Linked DNA regions of Tribolium castaneum. The protein of the gene in region 2 interacts with the protein of the main gene of each other region in a pairwise test. Links are inferred from orthologs where the notes say so. Each region holds a gene or a part of one and is shown on either strand. Other genes may lie near its edges. The genes, in order: Pex19 and Pex12.

Region 1 (6,077 bases), about 6.9 Mb from region 2:
TTCTGGGGGAAAAACCACAAACTCCCCGTGTATTTTTCCTCCAATTCTTGGCTTTTCTTCGCTTTAGTGCGGCGTTTTTCGTCCGGTTTGCGCTTCATTAGCTTGATGAAGCCCTCAAGACTGTCGGACGCGACCAATTGTTGCATTAATTTCCCGTGGAGGTCTTGTTGGGGTTTCCCGCGTTGGACTTCGGGTTGTATGTCGGTAAAGATCGGGAATTTTAGCGGGGGTTCCCCCGAGGGTGACGGTGAGTCCGAGAGGGCATTTGCCTGTATTGTGACCTTCTGAAGCGATCCTTTCGATTCAATTTTCTCAAGACAGTCCTGGAACTCGTCCTCGGGTTCTTTCAAAGTCTTGAGTTTTTTGAACTCGTTGACGAGTTTCGGGTCACGGCCCCCTGAGACCACCAAGTCGAATAATTTCGTGTGAAATCGCTCAATTTCGTCCAGTTTTTCGTTGATTCGTTTCGTATGTTCCTTGAGGGTGATTCTGACTTCGTCAAACTCCAGCAAGGGTGAGTTTTTGACGTCGTTTTTGTTGTACATTAGGCAGGAGAGAAATGAGGGGTTTCGTTCGAGGAAACTCGTCCGAGCGGCGATTTTCATAGCCAGTTCCTCCAAGCCGTTGCAGTTTTTCACGAAGGCATTTTCCAGCTGCTGATTGACCAAGTTCAGGGCCAATTTCACGCTTTTCGTGTAGTCTTCGCACGCCTTCTCGATGGACAGCCCCGTCTCATCGCCGCTTTTAATTTTGGAAATCTCGTCCATTTTTTGGATTTTTCGTACAGAACCATCAATTTTGACAGTGGCTTGAGAAATTGTTTGCAATGCCGGTGTGATTTGTCCACAGATTGGGGGTTCGTTGTACGACGACGAGGGGGCGAAGATCGTCAATAATTTGCTCGCGAAAGCGAAGCAAAACAACGTGCAAATTCACTTACCTTGCGATTTCGTCACGGCGGACAAATTCGACGAGAAGGCGCAAGTGGGGGCTGCCACTCTCGAGGCGGGGATCCCCGACGGCTGGATGGGGCTGGACATCGGGCCGAAGTCGATCGAAGCGTTCAAAGCCCCCATTCAGAGGGCCAAAGTGATAGTGTGGAACGGGTAAGTTGGTACGACTGACTTTAGCAACCGTGGCCAACTATGGGTTCTAGGCCAGCCGGTGTTTTCGAGTTTGAAAATTTTGCAAAAGGGACCAAAGCCATAATGGATGAAGTCGTGGCGGCGACTCAAAGGGGCTGTGTCACGATTATTGGTAATTAAATCACTTTTGTGGGCGGTTTTTGTCAAATTTGGTGTTCTAGGTGGCGGTGACACGGCCACTTGTGCCGCAAAATGGAAGACTGAGGATAAGGTTTCGCACGTTTCGACGGGCGGGGGCGCCAGTTTGGAGCTACTGGAGGGCAAGGTCCTACCAGGGGTGGCCGCCCTCTCCGACGCTTGATTTTCCCGAACTTTGTTGTAAATTATTGTAATAAACTAGTGATTTTGAGTTTGTGTGGTTGGTATTGGGTGAACAAAATGGCGGTTTTTTCCCAAACAATTTATTTAAATAATAAATAACAAACAACAGTGTTTTCACCAATTACATTACATTGCACTGATTGGGGTCGGCGTTGTTTTGCATTTCGAGGGGCAAAGGGGGCCCCACGTCGCCCACTAGATCGGTCGGGGGTTGTCCGTAATCTTGCAACTAATTCGAGAAAAATCATTCTTGGAACAACATTAAACAAAAAACGCACCTTTTGCATCAAACTCAAGACCTTGTCAAACCTCTCCTTCTTTTGCTCACTACTATCACTCTCTTTCTCCTTCTCTAACTCGGCACAGATCTCCTCCATCAATTTCTGTTGTTTTTCGTATCTTTCTGCGTCTTCTTGACTCAACTTGTCCTTATTTTTGCTCAACCACTCCGGGAACTTGTCTAAAATGTCCTTGAGACTCGGATAGAGCACGTCCTTGGACAGCAAACTCTGCATCATCCCTTGCATGAAAGGCATAAAGGCGTTTTGGTCCCCCTGTCCCGCAAACAAGTTCATAATATCCTGCTCCAAATTGGGGTTCTGGAGCCCCTCAGCCCCCTGACTCAGCCCCTGGAGCGTCTGTGATATCGTGGCTGCGAAATCACCCGAGTCTCCGCTCGGATTTTCGATGACTTGTTGCGCCGTCTCTGCCATTTGCTGGAACTTGGCCTGGATTTGCTCGGGGGTTAACTGGGACCCGTCAGGGTTTGAGCCAAGCAAATTGGCAAAGTTTGACTCGAATTGAGCTGCGGCTTGTCGGATAAAATCGTCCGACCACTCAACGTCCGGGATTTCGTCCTGTGGGGGCGCAGGTTTGCTGTCTTTGGGCGGCTCGCTTTTGAAGTCTTCCAAAGCACCTTGAAATGAGGGAGTTACGCAACGAATTTTACACCACGGGACTCACTGTCCAAGAGCTCGGACAACTCGGCGTCCACTTTTGAGGCCGAATCGGGCTTTTTTGACTCGCTCATTGTAAAATTGGTATAAAACGGGAAGCTTTAAGAATTTGTTACAAAAGTGAGGTTAGGGAAATGTCAGGTGATTTGGGGATTTTTAGGCCACCTGTCGCTATTCCCTTCAACTATCAATTACAGGTTTCTACAAAAGGGTGTACCACCACGTTTTTCGTTATAATTTGTTGTTGTGTGGTTGGTACCTTGCCGTTTTTGACAGAAAAATATGGGCAATTTGAAAATAAAAATTTATTTTTTCGCTTCACACTCTTTAAGACGCATTTGTTATTGTTATAAGAGTAATACAGGTAATGTTTGTAGAATAAAAGGATTTACGTTAAATTATGTAACGTCCGAAAAGATTAATTCCGTTAGTATAAATAGCAAATATATCATAATTATATTTAATTTATTATTTATTATTTATTATTATTTATTATCATTTATTATATTTATTATTTACATTTTAAATTATTATTTAAATATATATTTTATAAATAATAAAAGAGTGGGTTGAGATCCAACAGCAAAAAGCAGACAAAATGAAACTAAATATGGACCCTCATGAGCCCACCCCTAGTTCCGCCACTGGCTCAGATGAAACCTTATTCATTTTTGTGCTCAATATAAAAACAGGGCGAAATCTTTGAAAAAATATTAATTTTTAAATATACTTTAAAAACAGGGCAAAAAATCAAAGTATTCTGAAAAGGCTTTCTTACTACTTTTCGTATCTAAGTGTTTAAAATCAATGTCATCACTCTAAAATAAAGTAAAGTCCATCCAACGTTCCACAAAAAATGATTTGGTTACGTTTTAAGTACTTTCTCTAGGATTTTTCGCGTGTAATAGGCCGACAATTGTATAATAAATATCAAACTCCAACCAACAAATATTCCAAAAATGCCGCCAAAATTGCCTGGAATTGCTAATTAGAAGAAAATTTCACACTATAATAAATTATCAATTACTCAAAACTTCGAACCAGTAATAGACAACGTCTTGAAGGTACAACTTTGAAAACCTGCCCGAATAATACACAAAAATTCGAGTAACGTTGTTGTCCGTTTTACTGAAACTTAGAAATAAAAAAAAAGTTTTTTTTTAAATAATTTTGCCAAACTTCAAAATTGGGAAAGAATTGGCATGGGCCTCGTACACCGTTTCAGCACATGACGAGTAACATTTATTATCGCAACGTAGCGAATCTTGGCGCTCTTTTTGCAAATACGGGCCTGGCTCAAGGTCGTCCGGAAAGAGCGAAGTCCACTTCTCTATAAAACCATTCATAAAAAAGTATACAGGGTGTCTCAGCTAAGACTTTCGAGCCTGATATCTCAGATATTTGTCAACGGATTTTTATGAAATTTAGAATGCACATATTTTAGGGGCAAAAAAATGACCTCAACTAAAAAATTAAATTTTAAAACACATTTCTTTTTTGCATCCGTACCCACGTTTAACAGTTTGCTTCTCATTTTTCTCGCAAAACAGACGTCTTCCACGAACGAGTTTTTTCTTTCAGCATTTTTCACTAACGATAATTTTTTTAATATAAGTCTTAAAAGGCTTAGCATTTTAAAAAGGCATGTAAAAATTACGTTTTTAAGACTTGAGTTTTTGCATTAATTGGATTTTAATCTTTATCTTCTAAAATATCTGCTTTTTAAATTTCATAAAAATCCGTTGACAAATATCTGAGATATTAAGTCTTGCTGAGACACCCTGTATGTAATGGCTTAAGCACCTTTATATCTGTTAAGACACGCAACGTCGGCCAACGTGCACACATTGCTGCTGTTACTGAGTGGTATAAGAAACGGTATACATTGACACATGGCATATATACTCATAGTGCGACATTCTATATTACAGTCGCTTTGCGAGTAAGTTGTACCAAAACTGGTGTAGCGTTCGTGGTCAAAAAGACATTGGCGCTGAAATTAAGTTGGCAGCAGTGGCAACATCACCGTTGCCAACTTACTTTTTCTAGCGAATAGTCGGCGACGTCTCGCACCGAGGTCAAGGTCGTTGGTACGATTTCGACGAAATTTTCCGAATTCGGATGAGTGAGAATTTCGGTTAAGCCGCCGCTTGATTTATCCGGATAATCGGTCGGCACAAAAATATGTATCTAAAAGCGCGCCAACTAATTAAGCCAATAATCCACTTAATTACACTTAACTATAACTCCAACTGCTGATATGGTTGTGTAAAAATAGTCCTGTAGATTGTTATTAACCGCAACAAAAAGCCCATTTTCGACGCCTGCGTCCGTAGTTACGGGCTTTTGGTCAATTTCGTACCTGAATTGTTTAATTAAAATTAATGACTGGGAAAAAATCAGGGTTTACGTCAGTTCTTGGGTGAATTTGACGTAATTAAAGACGCAACAAAAGCCGTCATAGGTCAGTCTTTGGTAAAAAATCGTCGAACAGTTGACTTCCATGTTGCGCCACAAGCAACTAGATAATAAATCCTCGCACGGAGTGACCATTTCTCGGGCCAAATCGTCAATTTTGATGTTCAAAGAGTCGAGAATGTTTTGGAAAAGTAGCAATTTGGAGACTGTGTCCGGTTGGAAATCAAAATCGTACAATTGGCCCGTAAAATGTAAAAATGCCATGACCTCCTCTGGGCTTTTTTTGGTCTGATTTGCCCTAAAAATAATTTTTTGAGTGGTAATCATTTTCATTTTTTTGGATTTTCAACAAGGCAAATGCCAGGTTTTGTGCCCGTTTTTTGCTGATTTTGTTTATGCTACAAACTGCAACTCCCGGGAATGGGACTTGGTTTACGGGAAATGTCGAACTAACTAGTGTTGTGACCGTTGGGTGGATTAAAAACTTGTCCCAAAGTGTGACCACCATGTAAATTGTGTACACGATTAAAATGATGTAAATGCAGGACCATAAAAGTCTAAAATTTGGTTCTAAATGGTGGGAAAAGGTGGAAATGTGGACGTACCGATGGAAAAGTCCCTTGTTTTCCATTGGGGGAGGTTTACTGGATTAGGATGTGAATTAAGTTGGGAAAAATTAAGTATTTATGGGTTTCCTTGCGACACCGGAAGCCGGGAAATCAATAATTGGCAGTGTTAGAATTAATCGGATTTATTTATTACATACGTCGCGAAAAACAACTAAGTTACAGGAAAATCACAAAAAAATATGTATATGTCATTTTTACATTAAATAAATTAAATAATATCTCTAAATGCCTTTTGGACAATTAAATAATGGACTACCAACTGTGAAAATTTCGACAAAAAATGCACCGTAACTTTTCATCATCATCAGGTGAAGTTCAGTTTTATTATAATATCGATGATCATAAAAATTATCTAATCTTTCTCACGTATCATCGAAAAAATCTTCCGCTCTTTGGTCGAAACATAGACTTGCATTAAAAAATTTTAATTACGCAAAAGAAATGATTGTAGATGGCGCTACTTTTAAGTTAAGTATATCATTTTAAGCCAAAACTTTTTTTTTATTTATTTATTAATTGAATCTTTCTCACGTATATCATTAAAAAAGCTTCCGCTCTTAGGTCTTTTTTTAATGTTTGAGATTAAAACAATTCTTACAACTTGATAA
Region 2 (6,286 bases):
AGCTACACCTCCACTGGTACGCTCTCGTTTTCGTCGTCATAATCGGAATTTTCTACTTGATCTTTTGCGCATATCTCGTAATCCACATGGCCATAAGTATGGGAAATACAAATCTTTTGCGCTACCATCTAGTCAAGAAATACATTATGGCCCCCATCGAGTCACAATTATCCGTCAATCCTGTCAGCTATTCGAGGTGAGTTGGCTTAGACCATGGCTTGTTTGTTTGTCCGGGGCGAGCTTCACTTGTCTGTTATTTTTTACAGAGAGCGCTTGATTGAAACAACTTAAGGAATTGCAGGGGATGTGTATGTATGCGTTTGTGGCTTTTTGCTTGCCTTTCTTTCTGTTTTCTAATCACTAATTTTCCTCTTATTAACAGCTTAAAGAAACGTGATAATGTACTAATCAATGACGTAAAATTCTGAGTGAGTATTGACTTGTCAGCGAATTGCTATCAAGTGATGATTTATGGTGGTTTCAGGTCGCAATCAGACTGGACCTTGGACGGTAATGCGACGGAAATTGCGAGGTTTTGACGTCAATTTTAGTAAATTTGTAGTTTTTTTCATGATATTTGTGTGATATTTGCGTTATGTAATGAAATATATTTTATTAGAATTTTTCAAGTTCGGAATTTTATTTCACCTGATTCACCAAGGATTGGGGTTTGGGTGGTATTAATACGCCGATCGGCTGTTTTAGTTTTGTATTTTCGAGTGCCACAATTTTGTTCGAAAACGACAATTAACAATAAGTATATTTGGCCTTGACAGTAGATACTGTTATCACGAAACGCAAATTAAGCTAGAAATCAGTCGTTGCTTTTAAATACAAAATAAAAGGTTGGTGGCACTTATGGAGAACTATAACTTAGGAAAGGAAACGAGATACAAATTTAAATTCAGTAATTACTTGGAAAAAATGTCCTTTATACTCTTAACAGACAGAAAATCATTTTTAATTTATACCTAAATTGTTGAAGATTGTGCCGCGGACTTTTTTATAGCAAATTTAATTCTCTAGAACTTCGTTCCTTACACTTTCTTGTACCTTCAACCGTATTTCCAGCGTTTTGATAAATATACGACGGTGCACAAAGAATAATCGCTAAGAATTATCAATTTGAGTTCCACCTTATATTTTTGCGAATGGTGCAAATACGGTTGAAGATACAAAAAAAGTGTAAGGAACAAAGTTGTAGAGCATTAAATTTTCTACAAAAACGTCCGCGACACCGTATTTCTATCTTCAACGGCTTAGGAATGAATTACCTTTCCAATACTTGACCACCGGCAAAATGAAGCAAATCCGTCACTTGAGAGTGTTTGAATGACTTTGGAGCCTAAATGGTTGAAAATAGAACTTTTTTGTAGGAAATTTAATTCTCTAAACTTTGTTTCTAACAATTTTCTTGCATCTGTAACCGTATTTGCAGCGTTTTGAAAAATATGGGGCAGAGTGCAAATTGGTAAAAGTTTGAAATTTTTTTTGAACATAGTTTAGGAGAGTTTGATTATTTTGTTTATGTGTTAACCGTTATACAAATACAACTTAGACGCCCTCTCGCGACATTAACGGAACTATCGGAACGGGAACGTTTTATTTGTACGTCGTTTCACATCCTAACCTTTAGCTCTCCGTAGTGGCACTATTACAAAGTGACACCAACTGGTAACAGCAAGTTTTTGGCCCCTGAGAATAAATACTTGACAAAAAACTAAGCGACTTCATCGATTGCCAACCTCGTATAATCATTACCACTGTTTTTCAAATGTTTAAACCATGCAATAATGACCCACAAAACTAGAGTAAAAACAAGAAAACCAATCGCAATGCTTGAATACACAAAAATGTGATTATAACGCTCAAAATTAGACAGTTGACATTCTAAATCCCACTGTTTTCGTGTAATAACGATGGGTTTTAAAAGCGCAATAAACTCGTCAAAATCACAGTTGAAATCACACCCTTTTGGCGTAATTTTCTGCACTTGACTGGAATTTTTGTAAAAAACGTTGAGATAAAAACTTGAATTTCGCCTCAATTCGAACATTATGGTGCTAGCGTAGGGGGGACAATGGTACTCGAAGGCCCCCATTGTGTTAAGTACGTTCGCTATCGTGACATCATGCGCCGAAAAAACGAGAAATTTCCGGAAATTTTCAATTTTTTTGGTAGCGTTGCGAAAATGTTCAATAATTTCGTTAAAAAGGGGGCCCGTTTTAAGCCTCGCCAAGTCCCTGTTATAACACTGGGTGGCGAAGCTTAGGTGGGCCCACGGGGCCATTTTTTCGGGATAAACCCCCGAGGTCCACTGGGGCAAAACAAACTTATTTAAACTTTCGATGTACAAGGTGTTGTATAGATACTCGAGAGTCTCGAGGGACGTTATATTGGCCCCTGAATTTTTGCTCAAATACGCGTACAAGTCCCGATTTTGTCGACTAATGTTGGCGAAAAACTCGGTTTTGAAAAGTTGGGTTAGAAGCGAGTTGTATTTGGGGCAGTTTTTTTTCATTGAGAGGAGGTTGTCCTCCAGTTCGGGGGTCGTGTGAATTGGGATGGGCTGCCAGGGGAGGGCGGGGTCCCACACTTGGTCGGCTTTGGGGGGGTACAAGCCGGCCAAGTTGGCTTCGGCGGACATGAGCGTCCTATCGACGTCCGTTGAACGGATGGAGAAGTCTTTCTCGGAATAGTGCGGCGATAGGAAGCCCCCATAGCGCTGGCGCAGCCACTGACCCAAGCGGAAATGCTGCTGTTTGCCCAACTAATCAAACGAGTGACACTGCGCAAAAGGGGGCTACTCACGTTCGTCAGCTGACCGAAGCCCACTGGCCAGAACGACGCGTTGCGGTAGGGGTCCCTCGGGTAGGGCTGAATGGGGGTGCGGTCACCATGCCTGTAAATCTGCAAAGGGGTTAAAGACTCGGCAGCCCCCCAACTCACCACAACCACCGAAATCAAATCATCACAGAGCGAGACACTAATAAGTACACAAACTAACACTAGTCTAACCATTGTACTTTGTAATCACAGCATTTTGTTTATCAACATATGGTCAAAATTTTTGACAATTGACAATCAACAAGTGCTGCCATCACACGTTCAACGCACCCGTGATTTGTGCAATTTTACACTCCCGGCCCACCTAACACAAAAAAAAACACACAAACTGATTAAAACACAATTGTCGCGTTCATAACGAATAACCACGAATAAAAGCAACAATGTGAGCAGCCCCACAGAGACATAACCTGTCGCCAGGCCCGCCAACCGTAATTCAAAAAATGGCGGAAAACGCAGCCAATTTCACCCTCACTTCGCAAAACAAACCCTCGATTTTCGAAATAATCGCGTCAAAGTCACTCAACGACACCCTCCACCCGGCACTGCAGAAAATCGCGCTGGTAAGGCTACAATTTTCAGGCGTAAACTAACAATCCGTAGTTTTTGGCCACTAATTGCCCCCAGAAATTCAACTGGTTGGGCAAATACTACGACGAAGTTTTTCTTTTATTGAATTGTGGCCTCCAGTACGGCTACCTGCGCAATTACGGTGAGTAAACCCCCCAAAAACTGTAATAATTGTATATTTCAGACGCCACGTTTTCGGAGAATTTCTACGGCTTGAAGCGTGTCCTCGACTCTGGTAATCAATTGACGAGTCACCACCGTCGCATTTCCTTGTTATTTTGCGTGTTTTTGCCGTATTTCAAACGGAAATTGGACGAAAAGGTGGCTCTGTATCGCTTGGAAAACGCCGACGGTTGTTTGCGTAATGTATGCCAACGTAACTGACCCGACTACTAAAAATCCCTAGAATTTCGAGGGCCGGTTCAAAAAACTGTTAATTTTGTCCCACTCCACGTTTGAGATAACATGGGGGCTGCTCACAGTTTACAATTATATTAAATACATGTCGCAACAAACCGAAGCTCAATTGCCGATTCTTCAATTGATTGATGTCAAGTTGGCGTATTCGGAGCCACTTCCACCTGAGCCAAGTTTCTGGTCGCTTTTATTCAAAGGGCATTTGGCGGATTTGTGGCAATTGAATATTTTGAAAAACGCGGTTACAAGTACCTTCGAGTTTGGGGCGTTTTTCTTGCAGTTTTTGCAAGCCTGGAGCGCTCACCAGAATTATAGTGTGACGGCGCTGCCAACTGTTAAACCACCAATGGTGAGTCTAGTGATAGTGTTGGTAGTAGTGCTAATTTGATTGTTTAGCTCGATGGGAAAGCCCGAAATTATCACAATAAATGTCCGATTTGTTTACAATTTTGGAAAATACCGACTGTTCTTCCTGTTTCCGGATACGTGTTTTGCTTTCCTTGCATTTTGCGGTATTTGAGGGACAACCAGAAGTGTCCGGTTACGAATCTTCCCGCCAAACCGCTGGATATCGTTAGGATATATGATAATGAATAAAAGACGTTGTAGTTGAGAATTTTTTATTGAAATAAACATGCAATTGTGAAAACAACAAAAAGCCACACTTTTTGTCAAGCAAAATGATAAAAAAATATTAATAAAAAACGAAAAAGAAGTCTCAAATACCTGGGAACAAATCCACGAGGTCCTTCCGGTACACTCATCCTAATCCTAGTAATCCTATCCTAATCCTCAAACAGTTTTAAATCCACTTCATCGCCAAAATCCTAGGAAAAGTATTAAAATCCCCCGAAAATTACTACAATTTATTTAAAAAATCCTAATCCTAGGAGTTTGTCCTTTCCTTCCGGTGAAGTGGAGATCAAAATCCCGTGTTTGTGAGACCTATCGCATTGCAAAACATCTCGTTTAAACACTGTTTTTTCAATGAGAAACGTGTCAGTTAATTTTTTGAAATGATTGTGTTTCATTGTTAGAAAAATTGAATAACTTATTTACCGAGCCATTTAATTGTGTGGTGTCCTCTCAACACTCCGAAAAATGCAATGCTTAGTGTGTTAAAAGTTTAAATATCCTCCTCCACGATCTTTGAGACTCCCTCCTAACAACATTCATCCACTCCTCTTGCATCCGGGTGTGTCAAAGATAACATTTTATTGTCTATTATTTTACTATCGACTTTATTATTTTTTCCAAAAACCAGTCCAACGCTGATTGACTCAGCAAATTGTACGGTAACAGAAAAAAGAAACAATACATATTAGTGCCTTATCCGTACTCTAACCTAATTGAAAATTTTTATAAAATTTAAGTCTAAAAAATTACAAGAATGGAGGAGAGAAAAAAACGATTCTTCCAGGAATGTCAGAAGAATTAAAATACCCACATTTACAAATACAAATTCCAGGGTTACCAACCGCTTTTTTTCTCTTGCATTTTTTTTAAATCAATCAAATTAAAAAAATCCCCGGTTTTTTTGATACGTACATTATACAAAAAGGCCAGTCCGTAGAGTAGATTAAATTAGGAGCGAGAACGGCTTCTGGAGTAACTCCTTTTGACCGGACTGTATGTTGGGGAACCCCTCCGACGGGGCGAATATGAACGACTGCGTGACCTTCCCCCTGACCGTCTATCACTCCCCCCACGATCTTCCTTCACCCTTATGTACGAAACCTCCCCCTGACGCCAAATTAAAACACAAATCCCTCAACAACCAAACAACTCTTACCTCATGTGACCTAAACCTCGAATCGTCCAATTTCTTTATAGCATATTTCATGTCTTCGTATCGGAGAAACTCCACAACGCCTGAACCGTCCTTGAACGCGTCCGCGAAGCACACGTCTCCAGCCTCCCGCATGTGGTCCTTCAAGTCCTGCCACGAGCCCGACGGTGGCAACCCTGCAAAAATTCAATTGTAAATATTTTGATGTAAGCCTATGTAAAAAGATCCGGGGAATCGATTGGTGTCGATAAAATCACCACATTCCCAATAGTTTTTAAGTTACGATTTTTTTCATCTTAAAAGACTTCGTTTTTTTTTAATTCAAATATATGCATTTATTTTGTAGTATAATCTCTATTTAGTTCAACGCACTTAGTGCAATGTGTTTCTAGTTTTTTAATCCCATCCCTGAAGTGACTTTCTGGTAGTTCTGCAAAATACTTATTTATAGTCGCTATTACCTCCTCATTCGAGTGATAATTTCTCCTAATCACATTTTTTTTTTAATTGTGGAAGTCTGGGGAAGTCAAATCAGGCGAATATAAAGAATGTTCTAATAATTCATGTTTTTAATTCGTCAATTTTTCCATTGCCAGAGCGCCTTTGCGACACCCTTTCACACACTATTTTTTCGTATCTAATTCTTGGTGCAAAATAAACTAC

The links.
Region 1: the proteins of Pex12 (region 2) and Pex19 interact in a two-hybrid assay, tested with the Homo sapiens proteins (4 studies listed by BioGRID and IntAct, with this or other methods). The link is inferred for Tribolium castaneum from reciprocal best matches to the Homo sapiens genes PEX12 and PEX19.

Annotation. Positions count from the first base shown.
Region 1 is NC_087401.1:15,463,665-15,469,741, reverse strand, and holds Pex19 (peroxisomal biogenesis factor 19), read right to left. Parts: upstream 2,600-6,077; 5' UTR 2,497-2,599; coding exon 2,430-2,496; intron 2,383-2,429; coding exon 1,745-2,382; intron 1,696-1,744; coding exon 1,588-1,695; 3' UTR 1,529-1,587; downstream 1-1,528. Other genes in the region: uncharacterized protein LOC103315247, read right to left, coding at 1-767; Pgk (phosphoglycerate kinase), read left to right, coding at 850-1,106, 1,157-1,257, 1,307-1,446; pickpocket protein 19, read right to left, coding at 3,213-3,240, 3,292-3,397, 3,450-3,550, 3,602-3,752, 4,226-4,415, 4,463-4,612, 4,664-4,784, 4,833-5,138 and 1 more. UniProt on the Homo sapiens protein: Necessary for early peroxisomal biogenesis. Acts both as a cytosolic chaperone and as an import receptor for peroxisomal membrane proteins (PMPs).
Region 2 is NC_087401.1:8,580,908-8,587,193, forward strand, and holds Pex12 (peroxisome assembly protein 12), read left to right. Parts: upstream 1-3,275; 5' UTR 3,276-3,290; coding exon 3,291-3,410; intron 3,411-3,450; coding exon 3,451-3,559; intron 3,560-3,601; coding exon 3,602-3,783; intron 3,784-3,823; coding exon 3,824-4,183; intron 4,184-4,230; coding exon 4,231-4,431; 3' UTR 4,432-4,492; downstream 4,493-6,286. Other genes in the region: protein Malvolio, read left to right, coding at 1-196, 485-539; prostatic acid phosphatase, read right to left, coding at 1,721-2,770, 2,812-2,910, 2,950-3,021; SF2 (serine/arginine-rich splicing factor 1A), read right to left, coding at 5,419-5,577, 5,627-5,799. UniProt on the Homo sapiens protein: Component of a retrotranslocation channel required for peroxisome organization by mediating export of the PEX5 receptor from peroxisomes to the cytosol, thereby promoting PEX5 recycling.